3 linked regions of the Macaca fascicularis genome follow. The protein of the gene in region 2 interacts with the protein of the main gene of each other region in a biochemical or structural test. Links are inferred from orthologs where the notes say so. Each region holds a gene or a part of one and is shown on either strand. Other genes may lie near its edges.

Evidence for each region.
Region 1: the proteins of CLNS1A (region 2) and SNRPD3 form a complex in vitro, tested with the Homo sapiens proteins (2 studies listed by BioGRID). The link is inferred for Macaca fascicularis from reciprocal best matches to the Homo sapiens genes CLNS1A and SNRPD3.
Region 3: the proteins of CLNS1A (region 2) and PRMT5 form a complex in vitro, tested with the Homo sapiens proteins (5 studies listed by BioGRID and IntAct, with this or other methods). The link is inferred for Macaca fascicularis from reciprocal best matches to the Homo sapiens genes CLNS1A and PRMT5.

What each region holds. Positions count from the first base shown.
Region 1 is NC_088384.1:28,878,982-28,884,207, forward strand, and holds the start of SNRPD3 (small nuclear ribonucleoprotein Sm D3), read right to left. Parts: upstream 3,548-5,226; 5' UTR 3,459-3,547; intron 1,867-3,458; 5' UTR 1,849-1,866; coding exon 1,723-1,848; intron 1-1,722. Other genes in the region: protein GUCD1, read left to right, coding at 4,543-4,585. UniProt on the Homo sapiens protein: Plays a role in pre-mRNA splicing as a core component of the spliceosomal U1, U2, U4 and U5 small nuclear ribonucleoproteins (snRNPs), the building blocks of the spliceosome.
Region 2 is NC_088388.1:76,533,054-76,538,281, forward strand, and holds the start of CLNS1A (methylosome subunit pICln), read right to left. Parts: upstream 3,083-5,228; 5' UTR 2,990-3,082; coding exon 2,865-2,989; intron 1-2,864. UniProt on the Homo sapiens protein: Involved in both the assembly of spliceosomal snRNPs and the methylation of Sm proteins.
Region 3 is NC_088381.1:90,673,128-90,678,131, reverse strand, and holds the start of PRMT5 (protein arginine N-methyltransferase 5), read left to right. Parts: upstream 1-1,457; 5' UTR 1,458-1,472; coding exon 1,473-1,582; exon of another isoform or gene 1,583-1,608; coding exon of another isoform or gene 1,609-1,667; intron 1,668-2,215; coding exon 2,216-2,334; intron 2,335-2,619; coding exon 2,620-2,705; intron 2,706-3,190; coding exon 3,191-3,325; intron 3,326-4,016; coding exon 4,017-4,129; intron 4,130-4,263; coding exon 4,264-4,313; intron 4,314-4,521; coding exon 4,522-4,685; intron 4,686-5,004. UniProt on the Homo sapiens protein: Arginine methyltransferase that can both catalyze the formation of omega-N monomethylarginine (MMA) and symmetrical dimethylarginine (sDMA), with a preference for the formation of MMA.

The sequences.
Region 1 (5,226 bases), on a different chromosome or scaffold from region 2:
TATGGATGGGATGACAAAGGCCCTGGAAACCCAGCAGGTTGTCCAAATACATATAGCTAGATGACAAACCCATTAAGATTCACTAACCCAAGTCCTGCATTCTCCTTACCAAATTAAAGTACCTTAAAGTGGATGAGCATGCCTTAAGCCAGAGGTCTGGATATATGAAAGAGAGATGATAAACCTATCTACTGTCAATAGATAAACTGATCTATTGACAATGATGCAATAAACCTGAGTCACCAGAGGTCTACTTCTCTGCATCCAGGGAACTGACCAAGCTTGTCAACCTCGCAGGAAGATGATAGACGCTCAAAGCTACAGAAAAATCACAAATAAATGAATGGCGCAAACCAATAGATGGTCAGGATACCTGACCGTGGTGTAAGACGCTTTACCTCTCTGACCTTCTCATCTGGAAAAAAGCAGTAAACACCATACGTTGAACACTTACAGTATGTGAGGCACCGAGCAGCTATTGCACACATATAGCTCATCTGATCTTTGTAAAAGTCCTGGGGGTGTGGATATTATCCCTGTGGCAGTCTTAAGGGTGTGCTGCTCAGATCTCCCTCCAAAAGAAAACAGGCTATGAGGAGTGAAGGCAGCCGACAATCTCCATCTTTGCAGTCCACCATGGCATTCAACTTGGGGAGAGAGGCTGTCTCCCCAGGCTGCCAGCCAATGGAATGAACACACCAGGGGTGCCAGTCTGCCCATTTCTGCCCCATGTTAGACTCTTCTAATGAGCAATCACTGCCTTGCTGAGACTTCCTCAAAACTACACTGTAGTCTAAGGTTCTTCCTGCTCAATCCTCCTTCTTTCCCCTCTCGTTTCACCAGTCAGACCAGCATCACGGACTGAAAATTTCCCTGCCTACTACTGTTTCCTTGTTCCTTTATCCTTTATTGTCATTTCCCCCAATAAATACCTTGCATAATTCTGTCTTGGCATCTACATCAAAGAACCCAAAATAATAACACTCCCGTTTTACAGATGAGAAAACTGAGTGATTAATACATCTAAGGTCATATAATTAGGAATCAAACCCACATCTCTCTCTGACTCCCAAGTCCAAGTTCTTAACCAATGGTTTAAAGAACAAAGAAAGTGTGAAGATACAACTGAAAAACAATGCTATAAAAATTCAGATGACTATGCAAAAGGCAAAGCTGCGCCATGAGAAGGACACCGTATCAAGAAACTACTCCATTATTTACTATCAGAGTGATGAGTCCTTTAATCTCATTCTCCCTATTTTATGGATGACAAGACTACCACCAAACCTGCTTACCTCACAAGGTAGTTGCAATAATCAAATGAGACTCCTCCTCCAAGAGAAAAGGGAAACAAACACAGTATGTGAGAAGATTCTCCTAACTGCAAAGCAAGTGGAGGCAAATGGATAATGGCTCTGAACCTGAAGGATTCTACTGAAGGAACTTCTCCCAAACAGGTCCCCAAATTTGGGGATGGAAAAAACAAAAAAGGCGAAGTAAAATATTCCAAATCTCCAAATGGCTTTTCTGCCTCAAGACTATGTGTTTTGTTCATGCCCACATCCCCAGAGCCTATAACAGCACCTGACTGGTATGTGTTAGGCACTCAGGAAATCATTGCTGAATGAGAACAATTTACAGAAGACCCCCAACCCACACCTTTCTGTCCTTCAAGACACAGGGCCATTCCTCCCACACAGCCTCACATGCAAAGCAGAATACCTGGCAGTTCATGTTGTCCTCTGCTTCAATGAGCTTCCCCCGATATACCTCACCGGTGTTCGTCTCACATGTCACAATGTGGCCCTCGGCCTCGTGCAGCACTTTAATTGGCACACCAATAGACATCTTGGCAGGAAGAGAGCTCTACAGTGAAAGAGACAACAGTCAGTTCATCTTTCAGAGTCTGAGAAGGCATGCGGCACACGTCATGCCTCCTTCAAGGCCTGGCACTCCATAAAACTTAGCAAAAACGCCAAAGCTGCATTTTCTATCAAAGAAAAAGAAAAAAGAAAGCTCAGCTCCTGGCTTGGAGGAAACTATCTGGCAAATATGTGCAAGATGTCGGGTGAGGAGGAATGGTGGGGTGGACAGAAGTAAAAATAGGAATGAAAAGAGAGCATCTCCCATCGACCATGTGTCCCTGCTACCCTATGTCCCTTAATCTTCAGCTAAAGGACCATTAGCGAATACTGTGTGTGTAGGGGAGGGGGATTGGAATGTTAATCTGTTGCACTGTTATTTGTCAACCCTTAATTGTAGATTATTATATTTTGAGAATCATAACACAGGCCTGAGCTGTCCAATACAGTAGCTCATGTCCACATGTAGCTATTTAAATTAAACTTAACTAAAACACAATAGAATTAAAATAAAAAACCCAGTCCCTCAATCCCAGTGGCCATATTCCAAGTGCTCAACAGCTACATGTAGCTGGTGGCTACCCTACGGAAGGAGCAGATACAGACCTAAGGACCATGCATATCTAGGAGAGGAGACTGTACTTTTAATGCAGCTCTTTAACCCTTCCCTTACTTTACCATCAAGGATATTGAGAAAATATCGAAGTGACAACGTGCTATATGCAGGAAATGCCCGTCATGGAGGAAAATAAGGGAAAGCACCTGACTTGACCTAATTAAAAGCATCAAGTAGTGAACTTTTTATTGACATGAGCGACGACTCAAAGTTGGAACCTAAGTGCACCTAAGACAGGAGAACATGAGGTTGAAAAGACAGGCTCCTTTGGTGAGGATCCCTGGCTTTCAGCCTTAGGAGCCTAGATTTTATGCTGAAGATAGTGGGGAACCACTGCAAAATTATAGGTAAAGAATGACACAATGAAAAGGTAGCAGCATTTATTTACAAAATGGATCTAACGTAAGGTTTAGAAGCAGAGAAACTTGTTAAAATTTCTGCAACAGTTAAAACTGCTGCAACAGTGTGGAAAGCATGACGGGACCACTGCCTGAAAGGGAGCTGGGGGCAGACATGCAAAGAACTTTTTAAAAAATGACCGGCTGGGCGCGATGGCTCACGCCCGTAGTCCCAACACTTTTGAAGGACGAAGCCGGTGGATCCCTTGAGCCCAGGAGTTCGAGACCAGCCAGGGTAACATGGTGAAACCGTCTCTACTTTAAAAAAAAAAAAAAAAAAAACCCTCATAGGATTTGACTTCAAGATTCAAAAAACTCATAGGAAATAACTTCAAGATTACTGCCTGGAAACTTTGAAAAACACTCACCTGGAGAGATACAGAATGTAAGAAGCATGCACATTGAGGGAGCAGCTAATGAACTTACTTCCAGGCGCTAGTGAGGCGACGCTGATGTTTGGGTGGTCCAAACTTCCCGCTTTCTTCCCTCCCCGAATCCCGCAGAGTTCATGCATTGAGTCTTTCTCCAGCCCCCGGCCCCTCACAGGCACCTCGACCTCCCCTCGCCCGTCCCCAGCCTCACCGGTTCTGGCCTACTTTTCCTTCTCTTCGGTGCACGGCGAAAGCCGCTACGGCGAAGGCGTGAATCAAGAGAATGGCGGGCCCAGCTCCCAGAATTCCACTCGTTCCCAAAATGCTGCGCGCAGGGCCCGCCTCCTTCCTTTCCCCAGTGGTGAGAGCGGTGTCGCCTCCGCTTCCTCCTCACCCCGCGTGCCGGCTGGGAAACTAAGGCACCAGTACGATAGTTCCGGCACCGGAAAAGAGGGCCGAAGACTGGGCCCGGGGACCGCCGCAAACAACGACCCTTGGGGCCGGCAAAGAGCCAGAGAGGGTGCTTGCACTTCCAAGCGCCCCACACCAAGGACAGGCTGGACGGCAAGGCGGAGACTCGGGGCCTGGGCCCTCAGACCGGGGGCAGCAGGAGGTTGGGCCAAGGGCCAGGACTTCCCCTCACAATTTAATTTTTTGATCCCAGCACCGCCAGGTAAGGGGCGCCCTGAGTGAGGCTACGTATCTCGTACGGATAAAGTTAGGTATAGAGTAGAGAGGAGGCCGGCTCAGGGTCATCCCTAAAGGCAGTTTAAGGAGAGTTGTTTGGAGCCTCCGGAATACACTGGGCCGGACCAGGGTTTACAGCTAAGACTGGCAAAGGAGCGGGCCCCGGCAGAGGCGGGGCTTGCTGAAGGGAGGAGCCTCTGTTCACGAAATGCACGGGCTTTGGGGCGGGGCTCAAGGAAAGGGGCGGAGCTTCCGGGTCCGCGTCTTGTTGGGCTTCGCGGCTGCGCGAGGATTGGACGAGAGGGCTGGGTCACTCGACGCTGAGGCGGTGAATGGCCGGGGCAGATTTAAATCGGGAGGCTGGGGGCCTCTAGGATCAAAGTTTGGGGCGGGGCTTAGAGAAAGGGCGGGGCCTCCAGATTCGAGACCTGGAAGGGCTGGGGCGGGGCTTGGGGCGGCCCAGCCACCGCCTCCGGTTCTCCCCTCCGCAGCGGCGGCGGTGGCGGAGAAGGAACTCGACACGCACCGACCGCCCTACCGCCCCAGCCGAAGCGGAAGCTGTAGCCCGCTCTGGGCCGGGGCCATGGGCGCCCCGCGCCGCCCGGGTCATGAGGACGGAGGCGGAGGCAGCGGGGCCGCCGCTCGAGCCCGGTCAGTGCCTCTCTGTGGGCCCAGTCTTCACCCTAGGAACGAAGGGGACCCCGCCCTAGCGCGGGGCAGGGTCCAGCCGCGCGACCTTGGGCCGACTCCCGCCTCACCCCCACACCCGCCTCGCTCCAGTCAGTGGGGGTTTCCTGACACTGGCAGGATTGCGACCCTTGTCCGCATGGTGGGAGGGTCCGGGTAGAAGGGGCGCCACCTTCCCCAGAAGCGAAAAGTCCTACTGGAGCCGCCTTGGGAGCTCTCGTGCCTTGGGGAACCGTGGAGGACTGAGGCTGGGAAGGGCAGGAAACTGGCCGAGAGCACCGAGTAATGAAAGGGCCGGTGCTCTGGCCTCCCAGAGTCGGCGTTTTGTCTTGCTCCTGTTCTTCCCCCTCTGGTTCCCTCTGCCACGCGGTAGCCTGAGCCCCTTTGGGGCGGAGACTCGGACTGGTTTTCAGTGTCTTGGCAGTTAGTTTGCTTGCCCAAGAGGTAGGGGAGGGGGAAGACGTGATTCCTGTCCTGCTGAAGGCGCAGGGTTGGTGAGGAACGGAGTGCTAGCTAGTAAACTCTCAAGTGAAGTGCCAACTGTGGGAGAGGTCAACAACATGTGGGACCCTGACCTTCAGGTGTCACTCCCAGGGAGTGTTCTC
Region 2 (5,228 bases):
AGGAGAATCACTTGAACCCAGGAGGTGGAGGTTGCAGTGAGCCAAAATCGCACCACTGCACTCCAGCCTGGGCAACAGAGCGAGGCTCTGTCTCAAAAAAAATAAATAAATAAATAAAAAATAATCTTAAAGAAGAAACATAAGAGATTTGTTTGTGAAAAGCTGAAACAAATAATTTTTAATTTTTTTAAGAGACAAGGTTTCACTGTGTCACCCAGGCTGGAATGTAGTGGCATGATCACAGCTCACTGTAGCCTCAACTTCCCAGGCTTAAGTAATCCTCCCACCTCAGCCCCCCATAGTAGCTGCGACTACAGGTACATGCAACCATGACCGGCTAATTTTTGCAATTTTGTATTCTTTGTAGAGACAGGGTTTTGTCATGTTGCCCAGGCTGGTCAACAACTCCTGGGCTCAAGCGATCTGCTCACCTTGGCCTTCCAAAGAGCAGGGATTTACAGGTGTGAGCCACCTTGTCCAGGCTAAGAATTTTTAAAAAACTGGTAAGAACTTAAAAAGAGTTATACTTCCTTGGTGTGACAATTGTATTGTGGTTATACAAGATAATGTCCCTGTTCTTCTGAACAGGAAGTAGAAAACATGTCTGCAATTCTCAAATGGCTCAGAAAAAAAAGAAAAACAGACAAACATGGCAAAATGTTAACTAATAAATCTTTGTGAAGGGTGTATGGGTAGTAATAACACTTACAACTTTTCTTTAGGTTTGAAATTTTTCTTTTTTTTTTTTGAGGCAGTCTCTGTCACCCAGGCTGGAGTGCAATGGCATGATCTCGGCTCACTACAACCTCCGCCTCTCGGGTTCAAGCAATTCTTCCGTCTCAGCCTCCCAAGTAGCTGAGATTACAGATGCCTGCCACCACACCCAGCTAATTTTTGTATTTTAGTAGAGATGAGGTTTCACCATGTTGGCCAGGCTGGTCTTGAACTCCTGTCCTCAGGTGATCTGCCCGCCTCCGCCTCCCAAAGTGCTGGAATTACAGGCGTGAGCCACCGCACCGGACCGTAGGTTTGAAATTTTTCAAAATGCAAAAACCAATACAGGACTGTCCCTCAAAAGGAGTTATAATATTGAACGAAGTGTCAACATACAGAAATGTCATGAATAAAAAAGGAATGCCTGGGAACTAGGAATGTATCTGTGCTCCATCTTCCATCACTTCAAAGAAACTGCTTTCCCCAAATATCAAAGATTTCCTTGTCAATACTCAATATACGCTCTTCATATTTTGTTTTGACTGCTCCTTCCTCCTTTCTCGAGTCTCTTCTTCTATGACCCACACAAAGGTGTGTCCCTAGGGTTCTACACTTGGTCCTCTTCTCTTCTGAGATAGTTAATCCATTTCCATGAGTATACACTAATACTTCAACGACTTCCAAACATCTATCTTTAATACCACTTTCCCAAGACACACACTCTTTTTTTTTTTTTTTTTTTTTGAGACAAGGTCTCACTCTGTCACTTAGGCTGGAGTGCAGGGGCACAATCACGGCTCACCGTGCCTCGACCTTCTGGACTCAGGTGATCCTCCCATCTCAGTTTCCTGAGTAGCTAGGACTACAGGCCGCCACCATGCCTGGCTAACTTTTGTATTTTTTGTAGAGACTGGGTTTCGCCATGTTACCCAGGCTAATCTCGAACTTCTGGGGCGATCCGCCTGCCTCAGCTTCCCAAAGTGCTGGGATTACAGGTGTGAGCCACCACGCCCGGCCCAACACACACTCGTATGTACAACTACTCCACACATGTCCTGACCAAACTCATTATCTGCCTCTCACCTCAATCTTGCTTTTCCTACCACCCATATGTCCTATCTCAGTGACTGGCCTGAAGCCTAAGCCTTGTTCAATGTCTAAATTTCCCTTTAAAGCAACAGTTCTTTACAGTTTTTGTGCTCTGGATTCTGTGGTAGGCAAAATTTTGGCCCCCACGACCTTCAGTTTCTGGTGTCATGCGTGTGAATATGTTATATTACACAGCAAAAGGGACTTCGCAAACCTAATTAAGGTTACCAGTGGACAGCAACATAGGGAGATTATCCCGGATTTTACAGGTGGTTCCAAAGTAATCACATGAGTTCTTAGAGAATTTTCTCTGGCTGTCGACAAGTGATGGAGCAAAAGGGGAAGCAACACATATCTGAAGGGCAGGAAAGATTAAATGTGTCATTACAGGCTTCAAAATAAAGAGAACTAAATGTCAAGGAAACAGGGACCTCGGTTCTACAACCACAATATTTAAGGTAGATCTATCTGACTGTGAAAATACCAAAGTGCTCCAGGTGGCCAAATAAAAGGGCAACTCCTTCCAGGACCCCAAAACGGGAGTCTGGTACCTCTGCATATGACCCCTGTCTGTGTCGAGTTAAGGATATTCCTCTCCTTACTATTCCTACAGAAAAAATCTATATTGTGTAACCAAACTTTCAAAGTCCTCCACACTCGGCTCTGAAACTACGTATCCTGCAGAGGGGAACATCTCCTGCATCTGTTCATCCGGAAAGACAGGCACACTTCAGACTCTTAAAACGAGACCGTGCGTTAAGGGCAACGCACGCGCCAGACCTCCAGTAAAAGGCGAGTTTAAAAAAACAAAACAAAAAAACAAAAGCACAATCCATGAGGGGAAATTCCGGCCCGAGAAAATAGAGAATGGAAGACTCGGGAAGAGTGCTAGAAAAATCGAGCCTTCCAGCCGGTACAGGTATCCCTGAGGCGTCCCGGACACGCGCCCCCGCTCCCAGCAGCCCTCCAGGCCGCCCCTTGCCCGGCTCCTTCGCACCGCCTGCTCCAGCAAGGAGGAGGGTGGCACGCAGGAGGCCGGCGCTGGGGACCGGGAACCCTACCTCTCAGCGATGTAAAGGGTACCAGTGCCGAGGCCCTTCCCGTTCAGCACAGCCTCGGTGTCTGGTTGTTGCCGCAGGAGCCCCTCCGCCGGCCCAGGCGGCGGGAAACTTTTGAGGAAGCTCATAGCAGCAGAAAGTGCGACAACACAGCCCCTGAGGGAGTTAGAACACAGCAATGCGTGCACCACACCGCTCGCCCTGGAAGAGGCACTCACCCCGGAAGAACAACTTAGTCTGCCCCGGAATCTGAACGCCGTCGACCATAGAGATGAGACATTCTAGGAAAAGCGTCGGAGGTCGGCTAAGACCGTGTGGAGTTTAACACCCCTCTCGTTCTTCCTCGCCATTTCTGAGGCTTTGGGCTTCAAGAACTGAGGGTTCTGTGGGAAGTCCCTCAAGATTGTCACAGTGAAATCACCATTGCAAAATTGTAACTGAGACACTGAAAGCAATCTGACCTACCCAAATCCATGTTGTTTCTAACCTCCAAGCTGTCCTTGTTCATTCCTCGTATAGGCTGAACTACCTTTGGGAGGAACTTAGTTTACAGTTTGAAGTTTTAAAACAAAGATGATGACAGCCTTTTTCCAAAACAAACTTCCTTCTTGCCTGGGGGCTGGACTGCCTTTGTAGGACTAACAAATCAGCCAAAGATTAGAAATTTTGTAATTTAGAAATTACAGCTGGAGGCCACAAGATTCTGACCCTCCCTAAACTGCACTTAAGATAGGTGCTTAAGATATGTTGCAGACCCTACACTTGATGGATCAGCTGGCACCACCAGATGCATAAACTGGCTATGTGATCTTGTGCCCCCTCCCCCGCAACCCAGGAACTGACTCAGGGCAAGAGGATAGCTTCAACTCCCTGTGATTTCATCCCCCACCCAACCAATCAACACTCTTCAGTCACTGGCCTTCCCCAACCTTCCAAATTATCCTTAAAAACTTTGATCCCTGGCCGGGCACGGTGGCTCACGCCTGTAATCCCAACACTTTGGGAGGCTGAGACGGGCGGATCACGAGGTCAGGAGATCCAGACCATTCTGGCTAACAAGGTGAAACCCCGTCTCTACTAAAAATACAAAAAATTAGCCGGGTGTGGTGGCAGGCGCCTGTAGTTCCAGCTACTCTCGGGAGGCTGAGGCAGGAGAATGGTGTGAACCCGGGAGGCGGAGCTTGCAGTGAGCCGAGATCGCGCTACTGCACTCCAGCCTGGGCAACAGAGCGAGACTGTCTCAAAAAAAAAAAAAAAGAAAGAAAAGAAAAGAAAAAAAGAAAACTTTGATCCCTGAATGCTCTGGAAAACTGATTTGAGTAAAAATAAAACTCTAGGCTGGGAGCAGTGGCTCATGCTTGTAATCCCAGCACTGTGGGAGGCCGAGGCTGGCAGATCACCAGGTCAGGAGATCGAGACCAGCCTGGCTAATACAGTGAAACCCCGTCTCTACTAAAAATACAAAAACAAAATTAGCCGGGCGTGGTGGCAGGCGCCTGTAGTCCCAGCTACGCGGAAGGTTGAAGCGGGAGAATGGGGTGAACCCGAGAGGCGGAGCTTGCAGTGAGCCAAGATCGTGCCACTGCACTCCAGCCTGGGCGACATAGCGAGACTCCGTCTCAAAACAACAACAACAACAAAAACTCTAGTCTCCTGCACAGCGGCCCTGCGTGAATTACTGTTTTTCTATGACAATTTCCATCTTGATAAATCAGCTCTGTCTAGGCAACAGGCAAGGTGAACCCACTGGGCCATTACAGCAGCAACCCTGTTACAACCCTGTTGTAACTGCCCAATGGGTTCACCGTGCCTGCTGCTTAGACAGAGTCGATTTATCAAGACAGGGGAATTGCAATAGAGAAAGAGTAATACACCGGGCGAAGTGGTTCACGCCTGTAATCCCAGCACTTTGGAGGCCGTGGCGGGCAAATCACCTGACCTCGGGAATTCGAGACCAGCCTGACCAACATGGAGAAACCCCGTTGCTACTAAAAATGCAAAATTAGCCTGGCGTGGTGGCGCATGCCTGTAATCCCAGCTACTCGGGAGGCTGAGGCAGGAAAATTGCTTGAACCCAGGAGGCGGAGGTTGCAGTGAGCCGAGATCACACCACTGCACTCCAGCCTGGGCAACAAGAGCGAAACATTGTCTCAAATAATAATAATAATAATAATTTAAAAATAAATAAAAAAAGGAAAGAAAAAGAGAGAAAGACGAATACATGGAGTCCCTTGCCGAAGGATGCACAGGACATAGAGACCACTCATCTGGAGCTCAGAAGTCTCCCAACTCGGTTATGATGTTCTGATCTGGCCACGCTGTCCCCATCTCCCGGGACTGTTCACATCTCGGGTATACACAACCGTG
Region 3 (5,004 bases), on a different chromosome or scaffold from region 2:
TCCCAAAGTGCTGGGATTACAGGCGTGAGCCACCGCGCCCGGTGGGTTTTCCAGCTTTCATTCTTCTGGGGCACTTGCATTGCACCCAGGGTTCCCCAGAATTTATCCTACCCCACACCCTTTTCGTATTTCCTATGGCTCTGTCCCCAACGAGCTATGGTGATCTCAGTCTCATGACCTCAGTTCTTTCTTCTGGCGACCTCCATCTCATCTGGTTCAGATCACTCTTCATCCAACTTTCTATTACACAGCGCCCCCTAGACGTTCAATTCAGCATGACTAAACCCAAACCCTGATTTCCCAAACCCTCTTCGCATTTCTCGCTCACTGCAGGGACAGAATCCTAGGCATCACCCCGACTGCTTTCTCAGGACTCCCTGCCAGTCGGTCCCTAAGTTCTGCCAGCAGCGCCTGCGTGGGGCCTCTTGTACCGTGTTCTCCTCTCCATCCTTGTTGCCGAGCTGCCTCAACACCAGTGGGCCCCCTGCCTTCAGAAGTTCCCATTTCCCTCCCCTATGTCTTTCCTTGCTTCCTTCCTTTCCATCTCTCTAGCAGCTATTGACATGGGAAAATGTAGATTCTCTCTGGCCTCCACGCCAGCCAGTTTCATGACTGCTGCCCACTGTAATTCATGAATTCCTTTTCTCTATCTTGAAGTGTGTGTGTGTGTGTGTGTGTGTGTGTGTGTGTGTGTGTTTAGGCGTTTATTCAAACCTTTTGTGTTTGAAACACAAAACACTACTTCCTAGAATCACTAGGAAGTAGCTGAGTTAGCAGTTTATTTTAATATGTAACATAATAAGGTGACAAAGCCCATTTTAATAGCACCAGCCATTAACCCAGTTTTCTCAATGTTCATATGGACGTAAATAATGACACAAGGAAAACACTTTTGAAGGTAGTTATGGGAAAAGCTGACATTAGATGGCTGCAGAACCCAACCAACTTAGGACCTGAAAATGAAAGCGTTAAGATAATAAAGAAGCTTCAAACGACGAAAGGTAAGGAAAATCAGAAAATGCTCATAAAGTAAAATTGTGAACAGCCCCACCGAGCCAGCCAGGAGTCGAACCTGGAATCTTCTGATCCGTAGTCAGACGCGTTATCCATTGCGCCACTGGCCCTGAGACGAAAGTGATTTTCTCCGTGATCCTCCTTCAAGGTTGTACTGCAGGGTTTCATGGGAGGTGTAGTCTCATAGCGGAGTTCTGCAGATACACTAAGCATTCTGGGAGATTGAAGTTCGTCTGAAACCAGACTCTGAGATTGGTGGATCTTCAGGAGCCTCGCCGTACGCCACTGCGCAGCCCGCGGATTGGCGGGAAAAGCCACTCCCCATCCCTCCCGTTCGGGAGCTGTGGCAGACGCTCTGGTTGTTAAGGCGACTCGTCCCGCCTCCTGGGTCTCTAGTTTGGCTTTGTGATTGGCTACTAGTATCAAGGAATCCCGGCATGGACAGCGCGAGGAAAAAGATGGCGGCGATGGCGGTCGGGGGTGCTGGTGGGAGCCGCGTGTCCAGCGGGAGGGACCTGAATTGCGTCCCCGAAATAGCTGACACACTAGGGGCTGTGGCCAAGCAGGGGTGAGGGCCGGACCTCCACGAGCGGAATGCGGGGTCTGAACTCGGGGACGGAGAAGGGCAGACTAGTCATCCCGGAGAAACTGGGGTGAGGGGGTCGGCTAAGATGAGAAGGGGAGAGACTATTACTCTTTGGAGGGGAGAAGCCTCGGACCCAGTAACGTGAGGAAGAGAACTTGTGGGGGGCCTGTGGTCACTGAGTCCCAAAGTTGGGAGAGTTGTTGAGTAAACTCTAAAGGGCTCTGGAGGTCGCGATTATTGTCTGGGAGTGGGAGGAGGTGTTAGGGGGCAAGGGAGAGAAGAGGCTAATCTTGACAGGGGAGGCACGGGCAGAACTGGGGCAAATCTGGATGTGATGGTCTTCGAAACATAGTGACACCTGAGGAGAAAAAAATTCTACTTGTGGATTTCCATCGTTTTCTCCTTACTCATATTTCCCATGGCTGTGTTTTGGGGAGAAACTGAGGCACAGTACAGCAGAGATATCCCCCAAGGTGGTCTGAACTCAGCAGCCTAGTAGGGTGAACTGATGGCAGCTGAAAGGGCTGTGCAAAATCAAAATAGCCTAAATCCAGTTGCTTGGCTTTCTGGCACTGCTGCTCTCTTTACATGATTCTGGGTCTGTCGCGGTTGTAGGTTTGATTTCCTCTGCATGCCTGTCTTCCATCCGCGTTTCAAGAGGGAGTTCATTCAGGAACCTGCTAAGAATCGGCCCGGCCCCCAGACACGATCAGACCTACTGCTGTCAGGAAGGGGTAGGGACCATCCCATATGCCCCTTAATTATTAGAGGCAATAACAACTTCTGCTTTATCGGGGCCCCGATTCTTCTCCTTTTCTGACTTGGATATATTTGTTAGTCCCTGGGATATAGATAACTTGTTTTCTCCTTGCTTCTCTATTCTGCATCAGGCTATCCCATGTCTATGTAGAAAAAACCTTTGTCTCTCATTTCTACTCTTGATTCCCAAAACTAAAAATTGAACAAGTAAAGTGCTGAACCTTATTCAGTATTTGTCTCTCTTGGGTGGGGGAGTGCAGACTGGAATACGCTAATTGTGGGAAAGCTTTCTCCATGGATTCGTCCAGACTCAAAAGTGGAGAAGATTCGCAGGAACTCCGAGGCGGTAAGACTCTTTGACTTCTATGCTGGATCTTTCTAACCAAGCTGGGTAGGGAGAGTGGTCCCCTCCCACCCCCAATAACTTGGTAAATCAACTGATACAATGAAATTAAAGCTATTAGGCTGGACCCCATGGTGCACACCTATGATCCTATCACTTTGGGAGGCTGAGGTTGTAGGATCACTGGAGCTCAGGAGTTTGAGACCAGCCTGGGCAGCATAGTGAAACCCCATCTCTATAAAATATACAAAAATTAGCCAGGCATGGTGGCACATTCCTGTGGTCCCAGCTACTCAGGAGGCTGAGGTGGGAGGATCAGTTGAGCTTGGGAAGGTTGAGGCTGCAGATGAGTGGAGATTGTGCCACTGTACTCCAGCCTGGGTGACAGAGTGAGACTTTGTCTCAAAAAAAAAAAAAAAAAAGAAAAGAAAAGAAAAGAAAGCTATTTGCTTGTTAGCTCAACCTTTTCCTCTTCATCTCCATTCCAGGCCATGTTACAGGAGCTGAATTTTGGTGCATATTTGGGTCTTCCAGCTTTCCTGCTGCCCCTTAATCAGGAAGATAACACCAACCTGGCCAGAGTTTTGACCAACCACATCCACACTGGCCATCACTCTTCTATGGTATAGCTGAGGGGCTCCTTTCCTGCTGCATATCATAGTAGTCAGATTGTGCTAAGTACCTTCTTGTGCCTAGCCATTCAGTGAAGGGTGTGTTTGGCAGAATTGAAGTATCAGTATTGCCGGGCACAGTGGCTCATGCCTGTAATCCCAGCACTTTGGGAGGCTGAGGTGGGCAGATCGCTGAGCTCAGAAGTTCGAGACCAGCTTGGGAAGCCTGGTGAAACCCTGTCTCTACAAAAACCAAAACCAAAACAAAAAAACACAGATTAGCTAGGTGTGGTGTCACACGCCTGTAGTCCCAGCTACTTGGGAAGCTGAGGTGGGAGAATGACTTGAACCTGTGAGACGGAGGTTGCAGTTAGCTGAGATTGCACCACTGCACTCCAGCCTGGGTGACAGAGCCAGACCTTGTCTCAAAAAAAAGGTCAATATTGCGCACCTCTCCATCTAAAAGTGGTATGAAGAGAGTTTCAAAACATGCAAATGTAATTATTTCGGAAACTTACGTAAGATAAGGCAGATATTTACATAAGGATCTATACATAAGGTACATGTTCACTTACAAAATCACAAATTGGGAAAAGCATATAAAGGGATTAGCGAGGTCTGAATGAAGTTTTTGATTGAGGGAAACTTTCTGGACCGAGTGAGTTCAAAAGGGTGTTCTAAAAGGGTGACTGTTCATGTGCAGTTCTGGATGCGGGTACCCTTGGTGGCACCAGAGGACCTGAGAGATGATATAATTGAGAATGCACCAACTACACACACAGAGGAGTACAGTGGGGAGGAGAAAACATGGATGTGGTATGTCTCCCTTTGCTGCTGTGATAGGGTGAGGGGAAGTACAGGGTGAAACCTATAGGGAGGTCTCCTTGAGCTATGGTGATTGGTCGGCCGTATCTAGTTGACTGTACTTTTCTGTATTTGACTCTGAACAGGTGGCACAACTTCCGGACTTTGTGTGACTATAGTAAGAGGATTGCAGTGGGTGAGTCCATGAGAATCCTGGGTTGGGTGTTGCTTCTCTGACCTCCTGTGAATAAGATTCAGGAATTTTGTATATAGTATACAATTTTACTACTTACCCTCTGTCTCAGACTGCCTTTCTCTTAAAGAGGTAAACAGATTTTTCACAAAGGAGCAAGGAAGGGTTTCTTGCCTGGCAGTGGTTGACAGTTTTTCTTTGTCTCATGTAGCTCTTGAAATTGGGGCTGACCTCCCATCTAATCATGTCATTGATCGCTGGCTTGGGGAGCCCATCAAAGCAGCCATTCTCCCCACTAGCATCTTCCTGACCAATAAGAAGGGATTTCCTGTTCTTTCTAAGATGCACCAGAGGCTCATCTTCCGGCTCCTCAAGGTGAGTGGTAGGAGGGTTCTAAAGGTGGTCCAGCTATACATCTTGCCTTATTTACCTGTGTATGATCGTTTTTTCCTGTGAGGCTGACTCTTTTTCTTTGGTTTCTGGGGAGCAATTTCAGTGAAGTTGGGAGTCTTGAGAACAAAAAGATAAATGCCAGTAATAGCCCTAGAAACCTTTCAAAACAAACCAAACCTCATGAGAACTTTGCAGAAGGTTTCATTTAGGAAGTTACAGCAAGGATCCATGAGGCTCTTTGGGTGTTGATGATACTTTTATGGCATAAGAGGGCTTTTCTTTTCTTTTCTTTTTTTTTTTT